Linked DNA regions of Drosophila melanogaster. The protein of the gene in region 1 interacts with the protein of each later gene in a pairwise test. Each region holds a gene or a part of one and is shown on either strand. Other genes may lie near its edges.

Region 1 (5,504 bases):
AAAACGAGTAGAGATTAGTTATTATTTATAGGGCAAAAGGGTATACTAGATTCGTGGGAAAGTATATAACAGGCAGAAGATAGCGTTTCCGACCCTATAATGTATAATGTAATGTAATATATATATATTCTTGATCAGGTTCAATAGCCGAATCGAACTAGCCATGCCTATATGAACGCCTCGACCCAGAGCCGGTTTGTTGACCCATTTTGACACGCTTGCTCTAACGCATACAAATGTCTGGATATTTTTGTATTAGTCTTGAAAGTTTGTATCGATTTGCAAAAAATATACTTTTTGCCACGCCCATCGAACGCCAAAAACGGCCACGCCAATACTATTGAAAAATGTTTTATATTTTGTTCATAATTTTTCTTAGTTTTGTAAATATCTATCGATTTGCCAAGAAACTTTTTTTATAATTTTTAAAATTTTTATTAGTCATGTAATTTTTGTTCGATATGCCAAAAAATATTTGGTAGCCCACAAATCGCACAAAAGTGTCACGCCCAAAATTTTAAATTTTATAAGTCTTGTAAATTTCTCTCGATTTGCAAAAAACACTTTCTGCCACTCCCACATTCTTGATAATTGTTTGGATATTTCTTCATACTTTTATTAGTCCTGCTTAGTCTATCGATTTGCTTAAATACTGTTTGCCACGCAAACTCTAACGCCGCAAAACCGCCCAAAACTGCGACGACCACATTTTTGAAAAACTTTTGGATATTTTTTCGTAACTATTAGTCATGTAACTTTTTATCGATTTCCCAAAAACTTTTTGGCACGTCCACTCTAACGCCCATAGCCTCCCAAAACTGCCACGCCCACAAAAAAAGTTTAGATTTTTCTTCGTTTTATTTTTTGTTTTTTCATTTTTTATTTATATACCAAAAAACTGGCCACGCCATCTTTTCGCCTACGAAACGCGCAAAACGGTCACGCCCACACTTTTAAACAATTTTAAAATCAGGTATAAGCAGGTATAAATACTTATCAAATATAAAAGAGTTCTTTATTTAATTTAAAGGATGGCCAAAAGAGTTGATTTTAAATAATGTTATTTAATATATTTACGCAAATGGTCAAAGAGAACTAGTAATTCGGAAGAACCGCAATTAAGACTGTGAAAAAGATTGCAGCGCTATCGTCTGGAAAACAGCTAAATCAGTTGTTTACTGTTGAATGTAAATAACAATTTCTGCCTTCTCGTGGCTTCAAAAAAATAAATTGCAAATTTAAATCCTTTTTTTTAACGAAATCCAAAAATTTTGCCTAAATCGAATTCGAAAAAAATATTACGTATGCCGAATGCATGTCCGATATTTGTCACATCATGATCACGAACAACAAATTTACATTTTCTTCATCTTATTTTTTCCATGGATATAATATCGGACCGGCTCGGTTTGGCTTACATGAAAGCTTGATGCAAATTGCTTTAAAATTGCGATTAATAAGCATTGAAACGAACTGACGGACTGTCTTGTCAAAGCATATAGATAGTTTTCAAGCACCCCTGTGTTACATTTTCACAGTTTCACTTTTAACAGAATCTTATCGCCGTTACCTTAACACTTGTCCTAAAAATACCATGCACTATTTAATCTTAAAATGCGAAGCGGTCGGCGAAATGGCGTTTTTAATGTCCAGGTCATGGCAACACAACCGCTGTTCACCGATCAGTTTTTATTGGTTTTCAGGAATAAGTAAATTGGATTATTGAAGGCTTCACTTGGCACGTATTAGCTTGGATTTCTATACGCTCAAGCTGCGCAGTCTTCACGTTGTGTTATGAGACCAAAATAGATCGAAGTGCGTGTGTGTGTTATTACCCAAAGGAGTTGTGTTCTTTAAACTTCGAACGCCACCGACATCATCATGTTTTTCATCTCACCGAATTATAAATAGTTGTGTGTCGTTTGTTGGTGCCATAATGAATTCTACACGGGGCCATGGGAGGGAAAAAGTACGGGAACTGGGCGAAGCATCAAAGAAAAGCCAGCAAAGCGGAACTTTCAAAGTGCCGTTAAAGCTGTTCCCATCTGCTAAGCTTACACTTACACATTCACAGGCTTAACTTAGAAGGCGTAGTGCGCTGCTTATATTATTGAATTTGACTGGTGTTTCAAAATATATGGATCTGATTGGAGAGATAGAGGAGATCTGAATCATTATGTTTTGGGTTCCGAATAAGATAAATAAAAATTACCTGTCAGGCTCTTTCGATTCTCTGAATGCTCAATTTCCACATTAAAACCAAGTCAGACGTGGGCGTTATCAGTTTATTCGTGTTTATTCCTTTTGGAGGTCAACCACTAACGGCTAATTACGGTTAAGAATTGTAAATTGCATGAATAACTAAGCCCAATGCTTTTTATACAACAGGCTCAGTTTTCATGGATCGCAGTCTGGACTCTATTGGCAGCTGTTCACTGGATGTAGACGCCGACTCCTCCGATATATCAGGTAAATATTTATATGGATATTTATGTGGATATACATATAACCAACTTCAATCGCCTTGCAACCCATCTGTGGATTACATCGGGTTGATTTCCCCGAATTGCAGATACCAGTGGGAGCCTGAACTTTCCAACGCCGGTCTCAGTAAGGGACATAACACGCGAATTTACTGCCAACCTTCGGGAGCGCTGTGTGCCTAACTTGCCTCCCCAGCCTCAGCACAAAACCCCTGCCTACGTTGAATCCAGGTCGTCAGAGCTGGAGCACATGGTGCTGTCACCTGCAATTGTGGAGTGCGACCAAGAGCCGAGCTCCAATGATTTTGACGAGACTTCTGCAGAAAATTCACAAGAAGCTCCCGAAAAGAAGCCCAGCTATTTAAACCTGGCTTGCTGCGTCAACGGTTATTCCAACCTTACCACCTACGACTCCAAGATTCGGCAGGACATAAACAAGTCACGTGAGGTTTCCCCGATTCGTCCCTCCACCAGCAGTCTACAGTACTGCAAACGCAACCACTTTCTAGCGACACCAACTCTGCACAGCATGCCTTCTCCGGCCACCAAGTGCAAACCCATCGAGCCTAACAACAACAGCAACGACAGTAGCGGGAATTTTAGTTCGGGTTCTGGTCACAGCAATGGAAATGGCAGTTTTATCAAGCAACGGGTGGAGCGACTTTACGGGCCGGGTGCATTAGCCCAGGGTTTCTACAGCCCCAAAAAGCACGGCCAGTCACCATCGAATGCTGCAGGGCGATCGGAAAGGGGGCAGGTGGAGATCGACTCTCTACAAGGCTCCGAACTGGCTCGGAAATTCAAGCAGCTCTCCCCCAGTAAAGACTATGGGGAGTTTCGAAAAAAAATGCAGAAGAAGTGTTCTCAGAGTACAACGGCGAGGATAGACGAGCCGTTGCATTCTCCAGGGCTTAACGGAGATCTTGACCTGCCCGTGTTTAGGCACCTTAGTCAAGAGTTCCGCGCCCAGTTGCCTACTGTGTCACCAAAAAGGGGTGCTCCTCGATCTTGCATGGCTCCTGATGTACTGCTTGTAGATAACGAGTCAAGTCCAGACCATGGTCCCACAGATGAAGTAGACCACGAATCCACAAAAATGGACAAACTAGCCTCAGAGGAATACATCAGCACTTCCAATATTTCTGTTGAAGCTGTTGTTAAGGATGGAAATTTCTTTCTGAAAATACTAAAAGAGGAACAAAGCCGTCTCTTGGTGCTAGCCGCTCTTGCTGAAAAATATGCAGACGCCTTGTCTGTAAGTGATCTAAATAGTGATTAAAATCTCAATTGTTTTTATTATTATTTTCGACACTGAACTCTACAGACAAATCCAGATATCTCCGAAGATACCTTTGGGCTACTGCGATCAGCGTCGGGTAAGGCCCGTCTCTTGGTATCGCAGAAAATGAAACAATTCGAGGGTACGCGTATTGCAAAGCATTAAATCACTTGTTACTAACATTAATATTTTAGGTCTTTGCCACAATAATCTGAATCGCTCACCAGAGGATAAGTTTCCAACAACTCTGGATGATTTACAAGGATTCTGGGATATGGTTTATTTGCAGGTGGAGCACGTGGATTCTATTTTTGCTGATATAGAGAAACTCAAAAGTAACGACTGGAAGGTAAAAGCACAGTCCGTCGCTGACCAACCCGATTTGCACACCATACCAACTAAGACAATAAAGCCGTCAAAAGTCGGTGTTTCGCAAGTGAAAACAGTCGGAAAGGCATCCAGCGTTCGTGTGAATGGCTCGGCACCTCCCCCACCTAACTCGGCAGCAGCTTTAAAGAGGGAGGCCCAGAGAAAACTGCTTCTAGAGATGAAACGTCAGCGTCGCGAGGCTATGACCGCAGCGGCCAAATTGAATCCCATAAATGTTGATGCCGACCCGGACGTGCCGGGAATAATTGGCGATAGTTGTGCTAATCCTAGCGTTAGCAACGGAAGTTAAATAATGCTCACTGCGAATAGCAACTCATGCTTTCTATTTATACATATATTTTTAACTAACACACGTGTACCCCACAAAGGCATACTTAAATTTATAGATATTTCTAGTTGAATTAATCATTTACTAGTCCCAACTAAAATTATTGTGTTGGAGCTCCTCACTGAAATCTGTCACAAGGCGTCAAATATCTAGGAGATAACGAAGTATTGTCACCAATTGCGACTTACCTAAAGTTGTTCATAAATATTGCCTTATCCGCGAAAGATTTCGCTAATTAATCAATTTGCTGTGCACATTATGTAATTGAAAATTAAAATTACTTGATTACATATAAAAAAGACATTTATTCACGTTTTACATTATTTAAGTATTTTAAAAACCAACAAAATTTTTGTATAACATAATTTGATGTTTTATAATTATTTTTGAGAAATTTAACTTATACAACTCTTGGAATATCATTTCTATTAATAGGCAAAATATTTTTATACAACTGCAAATAAAAATAACTCACACATTTAAATTAAAAAAAAGTTAATGCTATACTTTTCCCTAGCAAATCACTGTGGTCGGCAATCGGCGTAGTGACGAAGCACAGGGGGACGTGTGAAGGCGAAGAACTTAAAATCGCTAACTAACTGAAAGGTAATCCAAAATCTAATAGGATCGCATACCAAACGTTGATAGGAAAAAGAGAGGTGAAAGTATAAATCATTGCTAAATTATTCTGAAGTCGTTGAAAAGTATGCAACAGGCAGACGGAAGCGTTTCCGACCATATAATCAAATATATAAATATATATTTTTGATCAGGATTAATAGCCAAGTCGATCTGGCCAAGTAGAGTGATTGATTTCCTAAAAAATATATATTATAGGGAAAAGTAAACTTTTCCGACCCTAAAAAGTATATATATTCGCTATTAGCATCAATAACCGAGTCGATCTGGCCATTTCCATCCATCTATCCGAACGTACATATGAATGAATGTCAAGATATCGAAAACTATGAGAGCTAATTCAATGGGATTGGACATGAGACTCTGCTTAAGGTGGTTTCAAAGC
Region 2 (3,883 bases), on another chromosome or scaffold:
TTCTAATAACAGCGATTATCATTCAATGATTTAGAATTAAACGCAATCTTGGCAATTAAAATCGAATTAAATAGCTTTAGTATGCTTTACTTTTTATTAAGCGTAAAAAATTCACAAGCAAGTTATTGCCTATTAGTTGAATAATATTATTCAAATATAACTCTTTAGTTCTTGAAGGAAACCGATTTATTTGAAAATTATATATTCAAAAAATATGTAACATAAGATATTTTCAATTATTTAGCTACAAATATAGTAATTGTCTTTGAATCCTACTAATGTTCAATGGTTGTAATATATTTCGATATAATATTCAAGCAATAGCTTTAAACAGAAATCAGCTTCCGTTTTAAAACTCAAGAATCAGAGTAATTTTCTTCCAAATTTTCATTTCCCGTAAAAGAATACTCCATTAACTTTCCATTTGCATAGCTTCGGTTCGTTTATTGCAATCTCGTTTCTCATTCTGCGAGTTCTACTCGAGTGCACAGGCTCGGATTAAATAAGAATTGAAACGGGGATTGTGAGTTGGGGATTATAGAGTATTTATCGCGGTCAAACAGCCTTAAGATTAAGAAGACAAGAAACATAAATGAAAGGTCTCGAGAATGTGTGAGTGTAGATGAGGGAACATTGGATCCGTAACTCAAGGACTGGGCAATCGGAATCCGCTGTCCGTGAATTCGTATGTACATATTTCGATAAATCGCTTTCATTTCCACTAATACTACAACTACTATCGACTATGATCGGCCCATGAGCTCCGGCTAACTGGAGCCCAGGTGGCAGGAGAAGTTGGTCGCGATGTGTCCATTATTCGGTTGCGGCAAGAGGTCGGCATTATTCGAGTGGTGTATATCCATCCATCTGACTTAGTGGTAGCCCAGGGGCGAGAGGGCGGGCAGGGCCAGCTTGGGCAGAGCAGGTCCATAGGCGGGAGCCAGAGCCGGTCCGTATCCGTGGGCCAGAGCCGGGTAAGCGGGCGCCAGAGCCGGACCATAGGCGGGCACCTTGGCCACCAGAGGAGAGGCATGGAGCAGCGGAGCCGGGGCCAGAACCTTGGCCACCGGAGCCACAGCCTTCACCACAGCTCCCTCGCGGCGCACCACTGCGTTGAATCCGTGCACGGGATCGGCGGTGTACTCCACAATGCGGCGGGTTCCGTCGGCCTCAATCAGTGAATAGGCGCCCTGCACCACATCTCCGCTGCGGGTCTCCTGCTGGCTCTTCACGTCACCAGTGGAGCCATCCTGGTGGGCAGAAGGAAGTTGTTGGATTAGCAAAGGATAGGAATAGGTACTTTATATTTAAAGAAATGCCTTGAAACGAATCCTTTGCATCTTATATCCTAAGGATTTCAAGGAAACTATAAATATTTTATATCCAACATCCAACTTGCTCAACCAAGTGGTCGGATTTAATAGTTCTAAGCTTCCATAAACACTTCATAAAAATGTCTGGCAAAATCAAAATTTGCATACCAGTTGCTCAATAAAGCAATAAAATTCGAATGCAGATTTCTGAATTGGCATTGCTTTTTATGAGGTGACTAATAACTTCTTACGAAGCTGACTCACATGAACATCGTAGCTGAAGGTGTATTGGGGATTGGGATCGTATGGCTCCGGACCCGCCACCTTGGCCACCAGAGGAGCAGCCACCTTGGCCAGCGCCGGGTACGATGGATAGGCGGGCAGTGCCAGTCCGGGACCAGGGACCACAACGGCGGAGGACACCGCCACCAGGGCGCTCAGGACGAGGATCAGTTTCTGTGCCATTCTGGACGGATTGCTTGGTGTTTGCGATGGAGTAGTGGAGAACTGGAGGTCTACTGCTGCTCGACTGACAAATGAACTCGATCTGTGGTTCTGTGGCCGCACGACAATTGCTTTTTATAGGCCTCACATAGACGCGAGCCCAAAAATCCGCCACAGCCTCCGCCGCCGCCTGCCACCAGATATTTATGCAAAAAGCGCAGCAAGACACAAAAAATAATAATAAACAACTAAAAAGTGAGCATGCGTGTGGAGTCTGTAGCGGCCTGTGCCTATGCGAAATGCTCGCATCGATCGCGACAAATATAAAATAATTCATTTTTCGCTGCCCATGGCAATCAGAAGGGGCTGTCCGGAGGTGGAGGAGCTGCCGGTCGAGCTGAAGGCGCTGGAGGTGCTTGGCGGTTCACGCATGTCTGGGAGTCTGGGAGGACTGTGCTGGACCAAAGCAAACTGGTCCCACGCCGGCTGAATCGCCGTCGTTGTTGTCGTGACAAAAAAGTTCAATTCGAAAGCGAATTATTTGGGCCTAAGCCGGGTGGCCGGACGGATCAGGTGTGGTGGACGCATGAGCACCAGTGCCTCCCATGTCTCCATGTCTCGACTTTATGGCCACCAGATTGGGGCGACGCTGCACACGCACCCAGCAGTCGATTGTTGAAAGGTGTGTTTGGGGCACAGCCTTCGAAACTGGCTGGCTGCTCTAAGCCGCGCCCACCCAAAAAATCTACGCCAGACGCATTCAATGCACTGCGAGAAAACGAAAAAGTTCTAACCGCAATGAATGTGATATGTGATATTAAAATCTCTACGAAAAAAGTACTTGGATAACATATACAATACAAAAGGATATCAATTGTAGAATATTCTGTTCAATCCTATAGATTTTCGAATGTCATGCAGTATTTTTTTGAGTGTATAGATTTGGTTCTGTTTCGCTGCTCTGTTGCCATTGGGACAATTTTGGCCATTATCACTAATTTTCAACGCGTACCGCCGCTTGTTAGGCGTTGCTGCAGTTGCAGTTGCAGTAACTGCTGCAGTTGCAGTCGGCGCCGGCAGCAACATCTATGGACATGCTCGGGTTGGGGTTTGCGTAATCCAAAAATTGCATCTCGTGCCGATTTTTTACTTTCAATTAAGCTATTGAATAATTTGAGTGCGTGTTGGGCCAGCGAGAGTGAATGTATTCATTTGGAGTGGAAGAGTTCTTTGGGCGTGGGACAGCTGGAGGGGAGATAACCATCTAAGATTGCGGTCTTATGTAAGTGGAATGGGTCAGCTTTCTTTGGCGAATTGGGCTTTTCCTGGTTACATTTTGTTACATTTAAAATTACAAAACCACTTTTACATGGCATGGAGTCACGAAAATGTTCACCAAGTAATTAGTTCCATTAAGCACATAACCATTTCCATTTCTTGACACCCGCAATTATGATGTAATTGAAAAAGTTAACACACTGCTAAGTTTCAAGTTCAAAACGACGATATTTGCATCATAATTAACACGCAAATTTTGATCTTGAAAAAATGTCCATTGAATATCTTGTTATTTTGCACTACTTTTAAGTGTGTTTTTAATTTAGTTCATTATCATTAACTAGGCAAGTATGCATTTTGGGCCTTGAGCTTGTCTAATCAACTGACTAATTAATAAAAATGTATAGGTGTAAATTTAAACTCGTTTCGGAATTTTAGTAGAGCTTTTGATTAATTTTAGTTAATCAACGCCTTGAGAAGCGAATACTTGCGGATTTTCCTTGAATATGATTGAAGGATTTCATGTATTTCTTTGGCTTATTGAGTTTATTGTTTAATGATTACTGACTTTACAACGGACTAAGGAGCAGACAATAAGTTATGTAAAAGCTAGGTTACAAGCAGTGTTAAAGGCTCTGAAAGATTGTGGAGTTAGCCCAAGATTGGAGCAGCCACTGGAGCCACCAATGGGCGAGCAGCCACCGGAACTGGTCCTCGCTGCACCACCGCATTGAAACCGTTGATGGGATCGGCGGTGTAGAAGACGGTGCGCAGTGAACCATCGGCATCGACCACCGAGTAGGAGCCCTTGACCACATCTCCATCCCGCACCTCCTGCTGGCTCTTGC
Region 3 (3,644 bases), on another chromosome or scaffold:
GGAAGGACATTGAGCTGTTGAAGGTGAACAAGGCGCTGCAGACCATCTACCTGGAGTACAATCCGCTGGCCAAGGATGTTCGCTACCGCTCCAAACTGCGCGACATACTGCCGCAGCTGCAGAAGATTGATGCCACCCTGTGCAAGGTGCCCGGTACCTAGATGGAACCACTGTAAACCCCTTGAAAGACTAATCCACGGCGTTGCGCCACTACATTTATATCGATTAACTTTGAAAAACTGCGTTTAAAATATACATACAAATTAACCACTAATGGTTCTATCTACGAATTGGTGGGTGCAGTGATTTAGTTTGCTTTCAGAAGAAGGTATATTTGGATAAGTTACTCAAAGCGTGAAGTTTACCTAATGAGTCAGATAAATTATCCATCTAGGCTACCGCCTAACATATAAAACTAAAAAGTATTTTATATATACACATAAATAATGTAAATTGAATCTAAAAAGATGAAAACATTTTAGTTAAACAATTCTGGTTTCTCTTAAACCAAAACAATACATTTCAGTATGTCAGAGTACATTCAACGGAATGTATTTTTATTTATATCAAAGTTATTGTTCTATCGATTGAAATCACAGAGCTCAACTGATAAGTGGCTTTCATAAAGGCCTTTGTCTTCATTCTTTCCCTTTGTGGCAGACATGTTGTGCAAATATGCTTATCATTTCATTTTTTGACAAAGTATATGAGGCGTCAGTTGGATTGCTTTTGGAGGAGTTCATCAATTCGAAACAGCGTAATAGTCAGAGGCGCTCACTTTATGAGGACCTCCATAGAAGTCCAGAACAAAGATATTGCTAATTTCCAGTTCGCAAAGGTAGAAATTGTGAGCTGTAAAAGAAACAACGTATTTATTATTAGTACATACATATCGAGCTCTTAATGAGGTTCGCTTTCACCAACCTTTTACCCAATTGATGGCAGCTGGATGACGCCTCACATAGGCATCCAGCGATGGCTGATAGCTTTTGTCGCTAGGATCCATCTTCAAATGAGCCAAAACATTCTTAATCCATTTTAAATAGGATTTAATTCATTTTTCATACCTTCTTCACCTGTCCACTGATCATGGAACGGGCACATGTAGGCTCCATGGGATCCTTTCCGCCCTCCTTGCATCTTAGGGTCTGCTCGTCACTGAACAGGAGTGTGACCTTGTTGTCCTTCTGCCAGTCGGGACCAGTGAAGTCCAAATCGGTTAGCAGGAATCGAATACGTCCAGTGGACCTGTTATTAGCATCGCTGTCGTCGATGGAGATAATGTTGACCATGGGATACCCCTTCACCCGTTCGTTGGTGGAGAGACTTCCCACAGCCGCCCAATTGGCGCGATGGACCAAATCTCTGGCGATCTTGGCGTGATTTAACTCTTGCTCTCGCTTATATTCTCTAATTATACGCTCATCTTTCCGGCGGGAGTAACCGGAAGAGGGGTCCAGGCTCACGAGGGCCAAAATCAGGGCGAATAGTAGGGAGTGAAAGGTTTTCATGGCTAGACTGCAAGTATAACGATGCGGTTCTGAAAGATCACTGAACACTGGACAGCTGACGGGTCAGCATTTATGGACAGGGAATTCGCAATGACTGGCTTATCTTCCGGTCATCGTAATCGCGTATAATCCGCACTTTTAGTACTCTCTCTGATTCACGATGTAGGCCGTAAACAAAGCGGACTACGGATAGCGTTGACCTTTTACGCCTCTTTCATTTTCTCTGTGCGCCGCATTCTGCCAGTAATGCCCATATATATATGTATTTATGCCTACCTGGAGGATCTGGACTAATGGCCCCTGTCGGTACTTCTGCTTTGCGATTTGTTTGTCAACTGACTGGGCTACTATTGCGCCTTTATTATCACCTGCTTCGAGTACAAAGAACCACAACCAGCTGTTTTCAGCAGGTACCTCGGATGCGGTGGGGTGTATGTGACGCATATGTTCGTGCATTTTTCTCAGTTCTTCTCAGTCTCTCAAAAATCCATTAGTGTCTTTTATTACAAGATGATTTTAAATGCGCCCCATTAACTGGTTATTTTGAGCACTTAGTCAGTAATGTATGCAGAAAGCAGCGATAAATTGTAAATAAAAACGAATATCTAATTAATTAAAGTTTGGACTTTAGGAATAAGAATAATGTGTGTGGTAAATTTTAACTTTCAAAGAAAACAGCTGCCGTAAAATTAAATCACCATTGAGATTAAATAGTTTGATGTAAAGGAAAATAAAATTTAAGAATTATTTTAACAAATTCCTTTTGGGTAAATTGGCAAGCCGAGTAAAAACGTAACACCAAACTAGTTAGCCATTCGTAGTCCGAGGGTACCAACCGAGCGATCATCCAATAACGGTGGCATACAGCATTGCCAGCTTGAATAAAGTAGACTGCTATAAAACTAGGCTCGTATAAGCAGATCTTGAGCAGAGATTGGTGTAGTTTAACATTTTGTTTTCTTTTATTTTGCAAATATGTAGGTATGCTTAAATATGATTTTTGTTTTTAGGAGTATCATTATGCTTGACTTAATCATCTTTACCATATAACTTGTACATTTCACTTTCATTTAACTTGACCTCAATTAACATTTATTGTTTCTATTTGCGATTGGCTCGAAATTTCGCCAAACTCTGGTTCTGAATATCCACCGTGTGTGTTGTGTTTTCATTATTCTAGTGTGCGATTATTAGTTTAACATTTATTTGTATTTCTGTTACATTTACGTTTTTTATTTTTGTATATTTTGTATATACTCATTTTTCTCATATTATTAGACAATTTGTGTTGTAATTTAATTACGTTTGCCAGATTAGTTTACCCTGCCGCATACAGTTTGTTTGAAAAATATATGTACATATCTCATGGAGTCCTGAAATCAATATGTACGCGTAGATCTCGAGTGTTTTCTCAAAAAATAGATGTGTAAAAGTTGATCGTACGTGTATAGTGTAAATATGTTTGTATGGATGTAAAACATTTAAAGTTAGCTTCGTTGATTTATTGATTCTTTAAAGATTTCTTTAAAATGTAAAGCCCATTTGCGTTGCAATGTTGGGGGGAGTTTTTTTAAATGGTATTTTTCTCCCGTTTTATGCTTACGATATAAAAATAAATAAATCGAATTTGTAACTTCTTTTTGAGCTGATTCAATGGAGTAGTACCATAATGGCAGATCGGAGCTAAAAGGTGCCGAATAAAAATGTTTTGACAGCAGAAAACTGTAGTTATTCAATAGAAAGATCACTTAGTAAATAAACCATTAATCTCTGTTAAATATTGAATTGTTTTGTTATCGCGTCAGAACACTTTCTTCATCCTTTTATAAGTAGTGTCTAATCCAAATTCACTAGAAGAACAGCAACTCAGAGTCCATGTTATCTCTAGATATCTTTTGTGCTTATCAGTTAAGTGGCATGATACAATATTCATTTACGTCTAGCTCTTTTTACTTGCCATACAAATATCGTTGATTATGGTTATGATAACTAAATGCATTTAAATCATCTTAATATTCATACAAATCAATTACAGACACACCGACATTAAAATAATAAAGTATACAACGTTAGTTTTCTCTAGTTTAATGCCATTAGCCCAATGTGCAGAAGGCTCTAGTACTTTACGTGGTT

What was found. Proteins that work in one complex are often made in the same cells at the same time.
Region 2: the proteins of vlc (region 1) and Cpr64Aa interact in a two-hybrid assay, tested with the Drosophila melanogaster proteins (one large-scale study listed by BioGRID).
Region 3: the proteins of vlc (region 1) and CREG interact in a two-hybrid assay, tested with the Drosophila melanogaster proteins (one large-scale study listed by BioGRID).

The regions. Positions count from the first base shown.
Region 1 is NT_033778.4:5,700,479-5,705,982, forward strand, and holds vlc (vulcan), read left to right. Parts: upstream 1-1,633; 5' UTR 1,634-1,709; exon of another isoform or gene 1,710-1,910; intron 1,911-2,196; exon of another isoform or gene 2,197-2,388; 5' UTR 2,389-2,399; coding exon 2,400-2,469; intron 2,470-2,572; coding exon 2,573-3,738; intron 3,739-3,807; coding exon 3,808-3,904; intron 3,905-3,956; coding exon 3,957-4,441; 3' UTR 4,442-4,961; downstream 4,962-5,504.
Region 2 is NT_037436.4:4,207,315-4,211,197, forward strand, and holds Cpr64Aa (cuticular protein 64Aa), read right to left. Parts: upstream 1,865-3,883; 5' UTR 1,779-1,864; coding exon 1,578-1,778; intron 1,251-1,577; coding exon 873-1,250; 3' UTR 524-872; downstream 1-523. Other genes in the region: Cpr64Ab (cuticular protein 64Ab), read right to left, coding at 3,687-3,883.
Region 3 is NT_033777.3:17,392,749-17,396,392, forward strand, and holds CREG (cellular repressor of E1A-stimulated genes), read right to left. Parts: upstream 1,893-3,644; 5' UTR 1,788-1,892; intron 1,562-1,787; exon of another isoform or gene 1,519-1,561; 5' UTR 1,512-1,518; coding exon 1,068-1,511; intron 1,007-1,067; coding exon 925-1,006; intron 853-924; coding exon 743-852; 3' UTR 524-742; downstream 1-523. Other genes in the region: sds22, read left to right, coding at 1-161.